Linked DNA regions of Canis lupus familiaris. The protein of the gene in region 3 interacts with the protein of the main gene of each other region in a pairwise test. Links are inferred from orthologs where the notes say so. Each region holds a gene or a part of one and is shown on either strand. Other genes may lie near its edges. The genes, in order: ZBTB33, KCTD6 and CTNND1.

What was found.
Region 1: the proteins of CTNND1 (region 3) and ZBTB33 interact in binary tests that used the Homo sapiens proteins (3 or more experiments, as listed by UniProt). The link is inferred for Canis lupus familiaris from reciprocal best matches to the Homo sapiens genes CTNND1 and ZBTB33.
Region 2: the proteins of CTNND1 (region 3) and KCTD6 interact in binary tests that used the Homo sapiens proteins (3 or more experiments, as listed by UniProt). The two-hybrid records come from large-scale screens. The link is inferred for Canis lupus familiaris from reciprocal best matches to the Homo sapiens genes CTNND1 and KCTD6.

Annotation. Positions count from the first base shown.
Region 1 is NC_049260.1:92,972,642-92,976,868, forward strand, and holds the start of ZBTB33 (transcriptional regulator Kaiso), read left to right. Parts: upstream 1-1,408; 5' UTR 1,409-1,666; intron 1,667-1,819; exon of another isoform or gene 1,820-1,900; intron 1,901-3,363; 5' UTR 3,364-3,427; intron 3,428-4,227. UniProt on the Homo sapiens protein: Transcriptional regulator with bimodal DNA-binding specificity.
Region 2 is NC_049241.1:32,434,940-32,439,315, forward strand, and holds the start of KCTD6 (BTB/POZ domain-containing protein KCTD6), read right to left. Parts: upstream 2,931-4,376; 5' UTR 2,881-2,930; intron 1-2,880. Other genes in the region: PDHB (pyruvate dehydrogenase E1 component subunit beta, mitochondrial), read left to right, coding at 3,399-3,440, 3,524-3,577. UniProt on the Homo sapiens protein: Probable substrate-specific adapter of a BCR (BTB-CUL3-RBX1) E3 ubiquitin-protein ligase complex mediating the ubiquitination and subsequent proteasomal degradation of target proteins.
Region 3 is NC_049239.1:38,900,385-38,904,018, forward strand, and holds part of CTNND1 (catenin delta-1), read right to left. Parts: coding exon 3,604-3,634; intron 3,196-3,603; coding exon 2,660-3,195; intron 1-2,659. UniProt on the Homo sapiens protein: Key regulator of cell-cell adhesion that associates with and regulates the cell adhesion properties of both C-, E- and N-cadherins, being critical for their surface stability.

The DNA.
Region 1 (4,227 bases), on a different chromosome or scaffold from region 3:
TTGAAAAAACCCCAATAATGCAATAGTTCTCACATTGTTTTCTCACAATACGAAATCTTGCAGAGCCTGAGAAATTTCGTGTGTATTTCTTATTTCCATGTGAAAATACAATCACTGTGGTATTTTTCTATGTGGCTTTACTTTATCGAGGAGAATGTAAAATAGATTAGGAATGGTTCGATGGTGACATTCTTGTCTGATTTCAGGTTGAAGGACATTAGATATAGTGATTTTTTCATTCTGGAATATCCTGACGGACATTTTCAGCAAGATTTTTGTAGGAAGGAAGCACAGGGATTCTGGCTGAAAGGTAAACAGATGCAAATTAACGTTTGGGGGAATGGATGCAATATTATCCTATACTTTTTTTTTTTTTTTAAGAAAATGAAGGTAGTGGATGGCCTTAATTGTTGACGAAAAAAAGCTAATATTTTGGCTCCGTAGTTGGATGCGATAAATAACCCGCCCGAAGGGAGAGATTTTGCTCTCCAAACACCCATTCTGTTGCTTCATTTATCATGGTACTCAGGCAGAAGTGTATTAGCAGAGGGTTTTAAAAAATTACCACGGCTCACTCATTTATTCATTCATTAAACAATTATTGAACACCGACTATGTGTCAGATGCTAAAACCCCCTGGGGAGGAAATGTTACGTAAAAAGTAAAAATAATAAATCAACAGTGCAAGTGTTCATTTATTCCTGTTTCAGGATACAGCTCAAATGGGGACATTTAGTTTGCGCTTTCCTTCTCTGTGTTCTACGCCTTGCACAAAAACACTTTGGTCGACATTTGTGTACCCATCTAATGAGCTCTTTGGGAAGGGAGAGACCCTGGTTTACTCTTTTTTGTGTTCCACGGCACCTAGCCGGAGATTTGGTATAGCTCAGACACGTGGTCAGTAAACGCTGGTCGAAGCGAAGGAATGAAGATAGTACCGCATCGCCTAGTATTCAATTAAGAAAACTGTCTAGTGTCCTAGATTTATTTCTTAAAAATAGTTTCTGTAATGTCGTTTAACTTGTCATCGTCTAACTTGAATCATCCAGAGTCGATCAGTTCGACCCGATTATATTTATTCCGGTTATATTTCAAGGTGGCTCATCGTCTAAGATCCGGGCTAATCGGGCAGTTTCAAACTTGCAAAAGTAGTGAAACTCATATGGTCTCGAAAAGTTTTTCCGCCCTAGCAGCTTGCGCCCAATTTCGGTGAAGGCGACTCGCTTCCCTCCCGTCCCCGCCGCCTGCGACGGACCGCATCACCCCATCTTTCCCTTCCCTTTTTCCCACCCTTTCGCCCTCCGGAAAGGGCCGAAAGGCTCCCAGAGCTTCCCAGTCTCTCTCCGCCCCCTGCGGAAGGAGCCGAAGGCAGAGCAGGGCGCCGAAACGGGGGCGGCTAGGAGCTCGGGCCCTTCCGGAAAGACCCGAACTGCGCTCGGAGGAGGAGGGCGCCTTCGACTTCAGCGCTGCGTCCCCGTGCTGTGCCCTCTGTCGGCGGCGCGGGGCAGCTGTAGCAGCGGTGGCGGCAGCCGCGTCGACGTCGACCAAGACTGGAGCGACGTTTAAAGAAGGAGCCGAATCGCCGCGGAGTCTGGCTTCTGGTTGTTGGAGGGCTCCCACCCGTCCGCGCGGCCCGACGAGGAGAAGCGGCGGCGCCGGGAAGCAGGTGAGGACCCGGCCCTGCGCCGGGAGGGGCGAGGGAGCGCGCCCGCTGCCTCCGTCGCTGGGCCGCGCCTGCGTTTGCATTCTCCTCACTTGAACCAGGAAGCGGCGGAGTCGGAGGCTCCGCTCCTCCGGCCCTTCCTTTGTGTGGGCCCGGGAGCGAAGGAGGGGACGAGCCCGGAGGGCCGCGCCGCGGTCCCCTCCGCCGTCAGGGGCCGAGGGGCAGCCGGTGCCCCGGGTAGGCCCGGCGCGTGGGGAGCCCACCGCGGGGACCCACTTGGCTTTTTCCTAGCCCTCCGCCTGCCTTTTTGTGCCTCCTTTTCTCCTCGTAGCCCCTACTTTGATTTAGAGCTTTTCTGCCCGGCCCATCCTCCCCTCCCGTCCCCTTCCCAGGGCACAACAATGCCGCCTGCTTGGCCTCATCCCCTCCCAGCACCCCACCCTCCCGTTCGCCACCTTCTACTTTCCCCGGCTTGCCCGAGGACCCCCGCCCTCGCCGTGTCGTTCGTACCTCCATCTGGATTTGCAGGAAGCTGCCTTTTCGCGTGAATTGGGGTGAAAAAAAAAAAGCCCTCGGCTGCAGCCGGCTGGGTGCAAATGGGGAAGAGGGGGTGGAGTAAGGAAGATGGGGTTCAGCTGCCGCAGGGAGCCGCGTGTCGGTTCGCTTCGGTCGCGGATGGCGTTTCTCTCTTTTCCACCTTCACCTGCCCTCAGTCAAGGGTTTGTCTCACAGGGATGCGGAATGGCTTTTCCGTAGGCAGGGCGCAGGTCTCGGGGGTGGGTGCAGAGCGCTTCGTGGCGTTCCTGGGCCCACCCTGACGGGGAGACGCGGGAGGAATCTCAACAAAATGAAACCAATTCCCAGTGTCACCTGGACGCGTCCGTTTTATTGCATTACCCCGTTCCGAGAGTCCATTTGCAAACGACAAAAATTGCATTAAAAAAAAAAAAAACCTATCTACCTACTTAAAAGCGACTTCTGTCGAAATCCCCGTATTTCGGAAGCCCTGGTTGCTGGCTCGCCGTCCAAAGGTCACCCTTTCTGATGAATGCCTTGGTGGTAACCTGGAATTCCTTGGTACTGTTAAACGAGCAACGCCTTCTAACGGATGTTTCAAATCGTCATTTCTAGACTTTTTGCCTACTTTTTTGTTTTTAAGCTGCAGTTTTGAAAATTTCGAAGATGCTTGAGACGCCCCACCTTCCACGTGTATATAACTTAAGCACTGTGACGACAGTGCCACTATTTTGGTAACTTTAAAGGGAAAGAATGTTGGCAATTAAAGTGTTTCTCTACTTAAAGTACTTATCAGCTAGTTGTTCATATATATGTAAAAAAATATAAAAATTAGATATATAAAAATTAAGTATATATTTAATATATGTATATATTTTCAACAACTCAGCGGCCTTGTTACTGGGAATATATTCTGTGACTTCCAAAAATAGAATGTTCTGGGGGTGGTACACTGCATTGCTCTTTACTGACATCCCCATCCCTTTTTCTAGAGTAATTGTCTGTTCTCTTCCAATAAGTTTATGTTTTCATTTTCACTAACACATCTGGTATAAAAAAGTTCTGCTACCAGTGCACATAATTCTTTACTTAATTCTTTACCAACAAATTGAAATGTTTCGTGTTTTCGTGCAAATAAGCATTAAGAAATGGTGACCTTTCCTTTGTCTTATTTTTTTTCACAGTACCATCTGTTGACTTCGCTTGGCACTCTAACATTTCACCTCTGGAGATTGTAAGAGTAGAGAGGTGAGGGGAAGGGGCAAGGAGATGATGAAAGGGGAGAGGGTAAAAAAGGTGTTTCAGAGTTTATCTAGATGAGGCACCCCAATTTAAATAAGAAAGAAAACTGACAGTCTAAAGGTAATAATTGGCAGCGTTTATAAACACTAATTCAGTCATTGGCTGCAGGGAGTAGCTTTTGAATGTATTTTTAAAGATGTTCTTTTTTTTAAGATTTATTTATTTATGATAGACATAGAGAATGAGAGAGGCAGAGACACAGGAGAAGGGAGAAGCAGGCTTCACGCCGGGAGCCAGATGCGGGACTCGATCCCGGGACTCCAGGATCGCGCCCTGGGCCAAAGGCAGGCGCCAAACTGCTGAGCCACCCAGGGATCCCCTGAATGTATTTTTAAAGACCAGATAAAATTTAGGAAGAGTATAGGATAGATATTGCACACAGCAAGCTTTTCTGAACTGAAATCATTCATTTACAGGTGAAATAACTTCTGTGTGTTCATGATGAAGAGTTTTCTTAAAGTTTTAAGACCGTTAAAACTGAACTCTCAAGTCTTCTTGAGGACAGAACCCAAAAGTGGAACTAAGAAAATTAATTCTAATCTTAAAAAAACTGCTCAGTGGTGACGCATGTATCTGAGATTCAGAGGAAGAGATTACCGTTCAAATCTGTAGATCAATTAAAAACTCGCTTGTCTCTTCTCAGGGGGAAGTCATGAGATTTGATGCATGGTCCAAAAACCAGCCTGTATGAACAATTGACATACAAGCCAAAAAAGTTATGCCAAACTTCAGTTAAAACTTGAATA
Region 2 (4,376 bases), on a different chromosome or scaffold from region 3:
GAGAAAGTGGAAACCTTGTGCATTACTGGCGGGAATATAAACTGGTATATCTGCAATGGAAAAGAGAATGGTTATTCCTCAAAAAAATTAATCCAGAATTAACATGATCCAGCAATGCCACTTCTAGGTTATACCCCAAAGAATTAAAAGTAGGGGCTCAAATAGGTATTTGTGAACTAATGTTCATAGCAGCATTATTCACAAATCTAAACATTGAAAACAACCAAGAGGTCCATCAACAGAAAAATGGATAAACAAAATGGGATATATGCATACAATGGACTATTACTTAACCTTAGAAAGGAATGAAATTCTTTTTTTTTTTTTAAGATTGTATTTATTTATTCATGAGAGACACAGAGAGAGAGAGAGAGAGAGAGAGAGAGAGAGAGGCAGAGACACAGGCAGAGGGAGAAGCAGGCTCCACGCAGGGAGCCTGATATGGGACTCAATACCCGGGTCTCCAGGATCACACCCTGGGCTGAAGGTAGCATTAAACCGCTGAGCCACCGGGGCTGCCCAGGAATGAAATTCTGATACATGCTACAATATGGATGATCCTCCAAGACATTACAATAACTGAAACAAGCTAGTCACACTCACTCACACACACAAATACTGTATGATTTCACTTACATGAGGTAGAGCAGTCCAATTTATACAGATGGAATGGTCATTGCCAGGGCTTAGCGGAAGGCGGAAATGGAGAGTTACTGTTTAATGAATAGTTTCCTTTTGGGAAAATGAAAAGGTTCAGGAGGGGTACCTAGCTGTAGAGCCACCTGTAGAGCGTGCAACTTACGATCTCAGGATCATGCCTGATCCTTATCCTAAATTCATGCCCCACACTGGGTGTAGAGATTATTTAAAAGTAAAAAGAAAAGAGAGAAAGTTCTGGAAATGGATAGTGGTGGTGATTGAACAACAATATGCACATATTAAATGCCAATGAACTATATGCTTAAAGTGGTAAATTTTATGTGATATATATTTTACCACAATAAAAACCAATCTAATTAGAATACGAACAAAAGAACAGACACTTCATCAAGGATGGATGGCAGAAAAGCATATGAAAAGATGTTTAATAATTAACCATTAGAGAAATGTAAATTAAAGTCATGAGGGACACTGCTACACATGTATTACAATGGCTAAAATAGAAAATATTGATAATATCACACACTGGCAAGCATTTAGTGCAACTGGATGTCTCATACTTTGCTGGAGGTCATGTAAAATGGTATAGCCACTCTGGGGCAGCCTGGGTGGCTCAGTGGTTTAGCGCCGCCTTCGGCCCAGGGTGTGATCCTGGAGACCCGGGATCAGTCCCATGTCGGGCTCCCTGCGTGGAGCCTGCTTCTCCCTCTGCCTGTGTCTCTGCCTCTCTGTGTCTCTCATGAACAAATAAAATCTTAAAAAAAAAAAATAGTATAGCCACCGTGGAAAAACACTCCAATATAATCATACTGCTCGGTATTTACCTGAAGAAATGAAAACTAATGTTTAAAAAGCCAGTGTTCATTGCAGGTTTATTGGTAATAGCTAAAACTGGATACAAACCAAATGTCCTTCAAGGAGTGAATGGATAAACATGCAACCACTTAGAGATATAAAGAAACGTTGATACACGCAACAACTGGAATGGATTTCAAGAGCATTAGGCTGAGTGGAAATAGCTAATCTCCAAGAGTTACATATTGTACGATTCTGTGTTGAAATATTCTTGAAATAACAAATTATAGTGATTGAGAACAGATTAGTGGTTGCCAGGAGTTAGGGGTGGAGGAGGTAACAATGAGGTAACAGGAGGGAGGTGCTTTGTGGGGATGGAACAATTCTGTATTCTGGCTGTGGTAGTAGTTATGTGAATCTGTACGTCTAATACAATTCTATAATACTACACTCCTCCTACCCCTGCCAGAATGCATATAAAAACTGATGAATGGGGGATCCCTGGGTGGCGCAGCGGTTTGGCGCCTGCCTTTGGCCCAGGGCGTGATCCTGGAGACCCGGGATCGAGTCCCACGTCGGGCTCCCTGCATGGAGCCTGCTTCTCCCTCTGCCTGTGTCTCTGCCCCTCTCTCTCTCTCTCTCTGTGACTATCATAAATAAATTTAAAAAAAAAAACTGATGAATGCTGTATAAAGTCTCTACCCGAGTTAAGAGCATTGCACCGTTATCAATTTGGGGGATTTGACAATGTACTATGGTCATCCAAGATATTGGGCAAAGATAGTTGAAGGTCACATGGATGCTCTTTGCACCAGTTTCACAATTTCTTGTGACACTTAAACTCTTTCAAAAGAAAAGAAAAGAAAAGAAAACTTAAAGAAAGAAAGGAGGGGTGCCTGGCTGGCTCAGAAGAGCATGGGACTCTTGATCCCAGGGTCATGAGTTTAAGCCCCAGGTTGGGCATAAAGAATATAAAAGAAAAAAAAAAAAAAAAGAAAAGGAATAAAGTATTGATACACTTAACGACATGGATGAATCACAAAAACATGTTGCTGAGCGAGACGCAAGAATGATAGAATTCCCTTTACGTCAAGTTCTAAAACAGGCAAATTAAGTTACGGTGATGGCGATCAGATCTGTGGTTGCCTGTGGGGTGATGTGTGGGGAACGATCGGGAGGAAACGTTGAGGGAACTTTCTGAGGTGGTGGGGGAATGTGCATTTTACTGTGGTCGAGGAAGCGAAAAGCTCTCTTTAACACATTTCGCTTGAAATGACCAACCAAAAAACAAAAAAAAAGATTGAAAATTCTGGATGAAGGACTTTCTGACGACTGACAACCCGAAGTGACTTGAGGAAAAGTGGAGGTAACAGTCATCACGCGGGAGGGTTCCTGTGAGAATTACAGGAGCTGGACAGCACTTACTACGATGCCCGGCACACAGTAGGCGCTTCATGCCTCGATGAACACTCCGGTTCGCATTCCAGGGAGCAACAGACGGACAGCACGGTCCGGCCCGGGGACCACCGGGCTCGTTCAGAGCGTGCGCAGGCGACACTTGGCGCCCTACGGGTTTCAGTGCCCGCAAAAGGCTGACCCAACTCTGAAGGTCCCCGCAGCCTCAACCTAACGTTCCTCAGAACCTGCCTTCCGGGCACCGCGCCTCAGGCAGCACCGCTTACAGACGCGTCCCGCCGCGCAGCGCGCACCGCAGCAGCCGCCCGCTCCCGGGAAGTTGATTGGCCCCGGCCCCAGAAACAGCGGTAGTACCGCCCCACGCGCCACCTAGGCCCCGCCCCTCGGCCCCTCACCCGGCAGCGGATGGGCGGGGCACGCAGGCGCCGCGCGCTGCCATTGGCCTGAGCTGGCGCGGGAGGCGGAGCCTGAGGCGACTGCGGTCCTGCGGTGTTGTCATTCGGCGGCGGCTGGAGGACACGGTCAAGATGGCGGCGGTGTCTGGCCTGATGCGGAGACCCCTGGAACAGGTAGGCAGCGGCATGCGTGCCTCCGCGTGGTCTCTGCCCGCCTTGCGCCCCCTCTCAGCGTCCTCTCTCTCTCTTTTCGCCAGGTGTCGGGGTTGCTGAGGAGGCGCTTCCACCGGACGGCGCCGGCGGCGCTGCAGGTAGGTGGCCTGGGCGCTAGCCCGAATCCCGGGAGGGACGCGCCTGCGCCGTGGGGACAGGGACGGCACGGGCCCTGAGGTCCACGGGTTCCCACATCCTGCGTGGGACTCCGAGTGCCTCTGTTGCGACCCAGCGCCGGACACACCAGCAAGTCGCCCCGGCCAGGCTCACTGGAATCTGTGGGCGATCTGAGGAAACTAGACCTCGCGCTTCCTCCCTCAACCGCCCCATTTACATTTTTCAAGTAGAATATACATAACCAGATTTACCATTTTAAAGTGTATATTCAGCGGCAGTACTTCCGTTTACTATGTTGTGAGACCATGACCACCATCGGTCTTCAGAACTTTATCACCATCACACACAGAAACTCTCCACCCCTTAAACACGAACGTCCCATTTCCCTCTTGCTCCCGGTAACCTCTTTGGCACTTTCTGTGCCTTTGAATTTATCTATTCTAGGTGTGTCCTGGAAATGGAATCCTGCAGTGTTTGTCCTTTTATATCCGGTTTATTTCACTTAACATATGTTTTCAAGGTTCATTCATGTTGTAGCATGTGTCAGAATTTCATTTCTTTGTTTAAGGTTGAATAATATTCCATCTTATGCATATATCACATCTTGTTCCTCCATTCTGTCTGTTGATGGACATGTGGGTGTTTTCACCTTTGGGATTTGTGAATAATGCTGCTAAGAACACTGGTGTGCAAGTATCTGAGTCCCTGCTTTTATTTCTTTTGATCATCTCTAGAAGTGGAATTGTTGGATCATATAGTAGTTCTGTGTTCAACTTGAGG
Region 3 (3,634 bases):
ACTAGAGGGTGAATCTGTCACACTATTATTTATTCATAACCACCAGGAAGGAAGAGACCCATTATCTGCGAGCTCATCTCACCCTCTGGCTCCCATAGGAGAGGAGAATCTATTGTGTGGAACTCTCCAAATAAGCCTGTTGTTTGTTCCACAAAACCCCTCCCACAGTCACCAAAACCTCAAGGTTAGCCAGAGCAAAGAGGCCTTGCCTCTTAGCTGTCAACATCAACCACTCAACAGCAACTCAGATGGACAAATCATATAGTAAAAATCACTATTTTTTAATATCACTGAAACAAAATGAACAGATTATATAGCTACGTTTTAAAAGGAGGCTACTGAACAGTATGTTAAGATTCCAGTTTAGTAGGGGAAAAATAAGGTCAGGGCAGATCTACATGCATAGGAAAAAAGAACTCAAAGCAAGTGCACAAAAATGTTAACCGTAGTTCTTTACCGATGGCCGCTGGTGTACCTTTCTGGGTTTTTCTAGTTTTGTAGTGAGCATGTTTAACTTTCATTATTATTTCAGTATAAGCAATTACAAAAACAACTGTCATAGCCAGGACTTTTGGTCATTCAGTTGTATTATTTCCTTCTTCCATAAGCAGAGGATCTTGACATTCTTTCCTTTGTTTTACAAATAACAAAGCTGTGCCCAGAAAGATTAAATGACTTGCTTGAGGCTATATAGCTAGTGGCAAAGGCACAACTAGAACCAGAAGTCTTCTGGTTCAGTGCTTTTTCCACTAATCATTCTGCCTTACTGTTTCCGTTTGACCTTGTATTACTCTCCTAGGCCTGGAACAGGAAGCAGCTAATGTTCTTGCTAGTCAAGCAGGTTTCCAAGTCCAGTGCCACCCTGGAATGGACCCAAGAACCAGGCCCAAATGCTCTCTTTATGTCAATTGCCAGAGCAGAGAATGACCTGGCCACCCCCACCCACCTAGGTCCAACTCCACTAATGAGGAAGTCAGAAAAGTGGACTTGTTAACAAGCAGACAGGCCACCGCCCTGGGCAGACTCCTTTGGTGATAGCTGTTATCTATCACTGCTTCAAGTCGCACCAGCTGAGGTCTGGTGCCCACTCCACGGCCCCCTCCCCCAATAAAAGGTGAGTCACATGGGAGTTGGACTAGCTGTCCAAATGATACAATACCTAAAAGGTGAATGACTCAGGCTTAGATAATGGGACCTCTACCCGGGGACTAGCCCAGATCGCTATTAACCAAACCTAATAGGAGGTAAAACGAGCACCAAGGAATTTGCTTTAGAAGGTTATGACCCCATATAGAAATTCAGCAACAGCTGCTAGGACAGCTTTAGCACCGAGACATCTGTAAATCTTCTCCTTTCTTTCTTATTATTTTTCCTTGCCTGGAAAACACTAGGTCTCTGATTTATTCTAAAGCAGGACCAGCAGCCTATGGGCCAAACCTGTTTTTGTACAGTCCCAGAACTAAAAATGGGTTTTTAATGTTTTTTAAAGGTTGTAAAAGAACGTTCATACAACAAAAATTATATGTGGCCTGCGAAGCCTATTCAAATAGTTCTATCTGGGATCCCTGGGTGGCTCAGCAGTTTGGCGCCTGTCTTCGGCCCAGAGCATGATCCTGGGGTCCCATGTCAGGCTCCCTGCATGGAGCCTGCTTCTCGCTCTGCCTGTCTCTCTGCCTCTCATGAATAAACAAAATCTTGGGATCCCTGGGTGGCGCAGCGGTTTGGCGCCTGCCTTTGGCCCAGGGCGCGATCCTGGAGACCCGGGATGGAATCCCACGTCAGGCTCCCAGTGCATGGAGCCTGCTTCTCCCTCTGCCTATGTCTCTGCCTCTCTCTCTCTCTGTGACTATCATAAATAAATAAAAATTTAAAAAATAAAAATAATAAAATAAAATAAAAAATAAAAATAAAAAACAAAATCTTAAAAAAAAAAAAACCCACAAATAGTTCTACCTGATCCTTTACAGAAAAGGTTTGCCAACCCCCAATTCCAAAGCATTCTTTCAAGGCAAACCTTCTACCAGCCCCAAAATCAATCACTCCCTTTTTCACATCACCAAAGAATCCCATATGAGTAGTAAAGTCAGAATAGGCAGCTGATTAGTGACCTTCCAGAGTGTCACTAATGTACCACCCTCAAAGGATGCCACCCCCTTTTCACTTTATAACCAAACGTAAAAATCAAAACAGAAAGTTATCAGGGCTTTGGTGAGATCAAGGTTTGTTCTTAACTTGAAATTAAAACCACCATGGGGAGGGCTGTCACATACACCTAACTGTCTACTCTGGCCCTGAAAGCCTAAACCCTCAACCCTGTCTTAATACCAAACCAGATGCTAAAGAAATTCATAGGAGCTAGTGAATATCCCATAGCACCAGGCACCAAGCTCCTTTGTGCTGCTGCTTATCACCAAAAAAGGGGCCAGATCTTAGGCAGAAATAGCAGCAAGGCTTGGCACGAAAGCAAAGGCCACTCTTCAGGATGTAGACCAACAGCCACAAGTCATTAGAATATAGGACTTCCATCATAAAAAAGAAAAAAAGAAAGTCAGTATTTAGTAAAGTCACAAAAGGGAAGACACAAGTGTCTCTGATTAAAAAAAAATACTTAGAAGAAGAAATACTTTTCACTGTCTTGGTAACACCCTTTCTTCCCTACCTGAGTCGTCGGCGAGGATCAGAGGGTGTCCCAGTCCGACGGGCAGTGCCATAATCAGACATCATGCCATAATCCAAATCATCATAGCCCATGCTACGCTGGTCATCCTCTAGCCCATAAGGCTCCGGGTGAAAACGATGCAGATCCACACTGCTCCCACCTACCCGAACCTGGGGCTGAGGCCCATACACATCCTGCCTACTAGGTGCCCGATAACCTTCCATACTGGGCCTGTACCGCTCCTCAATGCGGGTCACCCGGGACAGACTGCCATAGTTGTCACTGCTACCGGGATAACCATCTTCATAATGGCGGCTATATCCATCAGGAGGATAGTGGAAGTTCCTGGGAAGGGTAGCAGTGCCTGCTTGCCCCACATAGGGACCAGGTCCCCCATTGCCATTCTTGCGGAAGTCACGCCCCAAAGTCTGTATATAGTTGTTAGAAACTGATGAGGCATCCACAGGCAGCCCATCTGGTCCCACAGGGACTGGCTGTACTGTCCGTGTTGTCACAGTCTTCACCACTTTCTTGACCTTCACGTAAGGAAAGAGAAAAGTGAACACAATATAAGCCTAAATTCTAGACCTAAGAAATGAAACAAACCCCTATGGCAAGCTCACTTTATCTAGAAATGCCTTACATTTACCACTACCCTTTCTCTCCATCTTATTAGTGCCCAAGCAAGAAATCTGTGCTGGCAGTAACCATGACTATAAGGGAAGCTACTGGCAACCTTGTATATTTCTCTCTTCCTCATTCCATTTGATTTTCCCATATCTCTTCTATCTTTCCTATCTGGCTAGAGATCACTTTCTTTATGCCTTCACTACAGATTAATACCTTTCATCCACCCTAATTAAGTGTTTAATCCCCCACCACCACCACCACCACCAATGAAGACCTTCTCCATCATCCTAGACCTCACACAACTCTCAGCTTACTGTGGTCTCTGTGCGCCGAGTAGTTCCATCA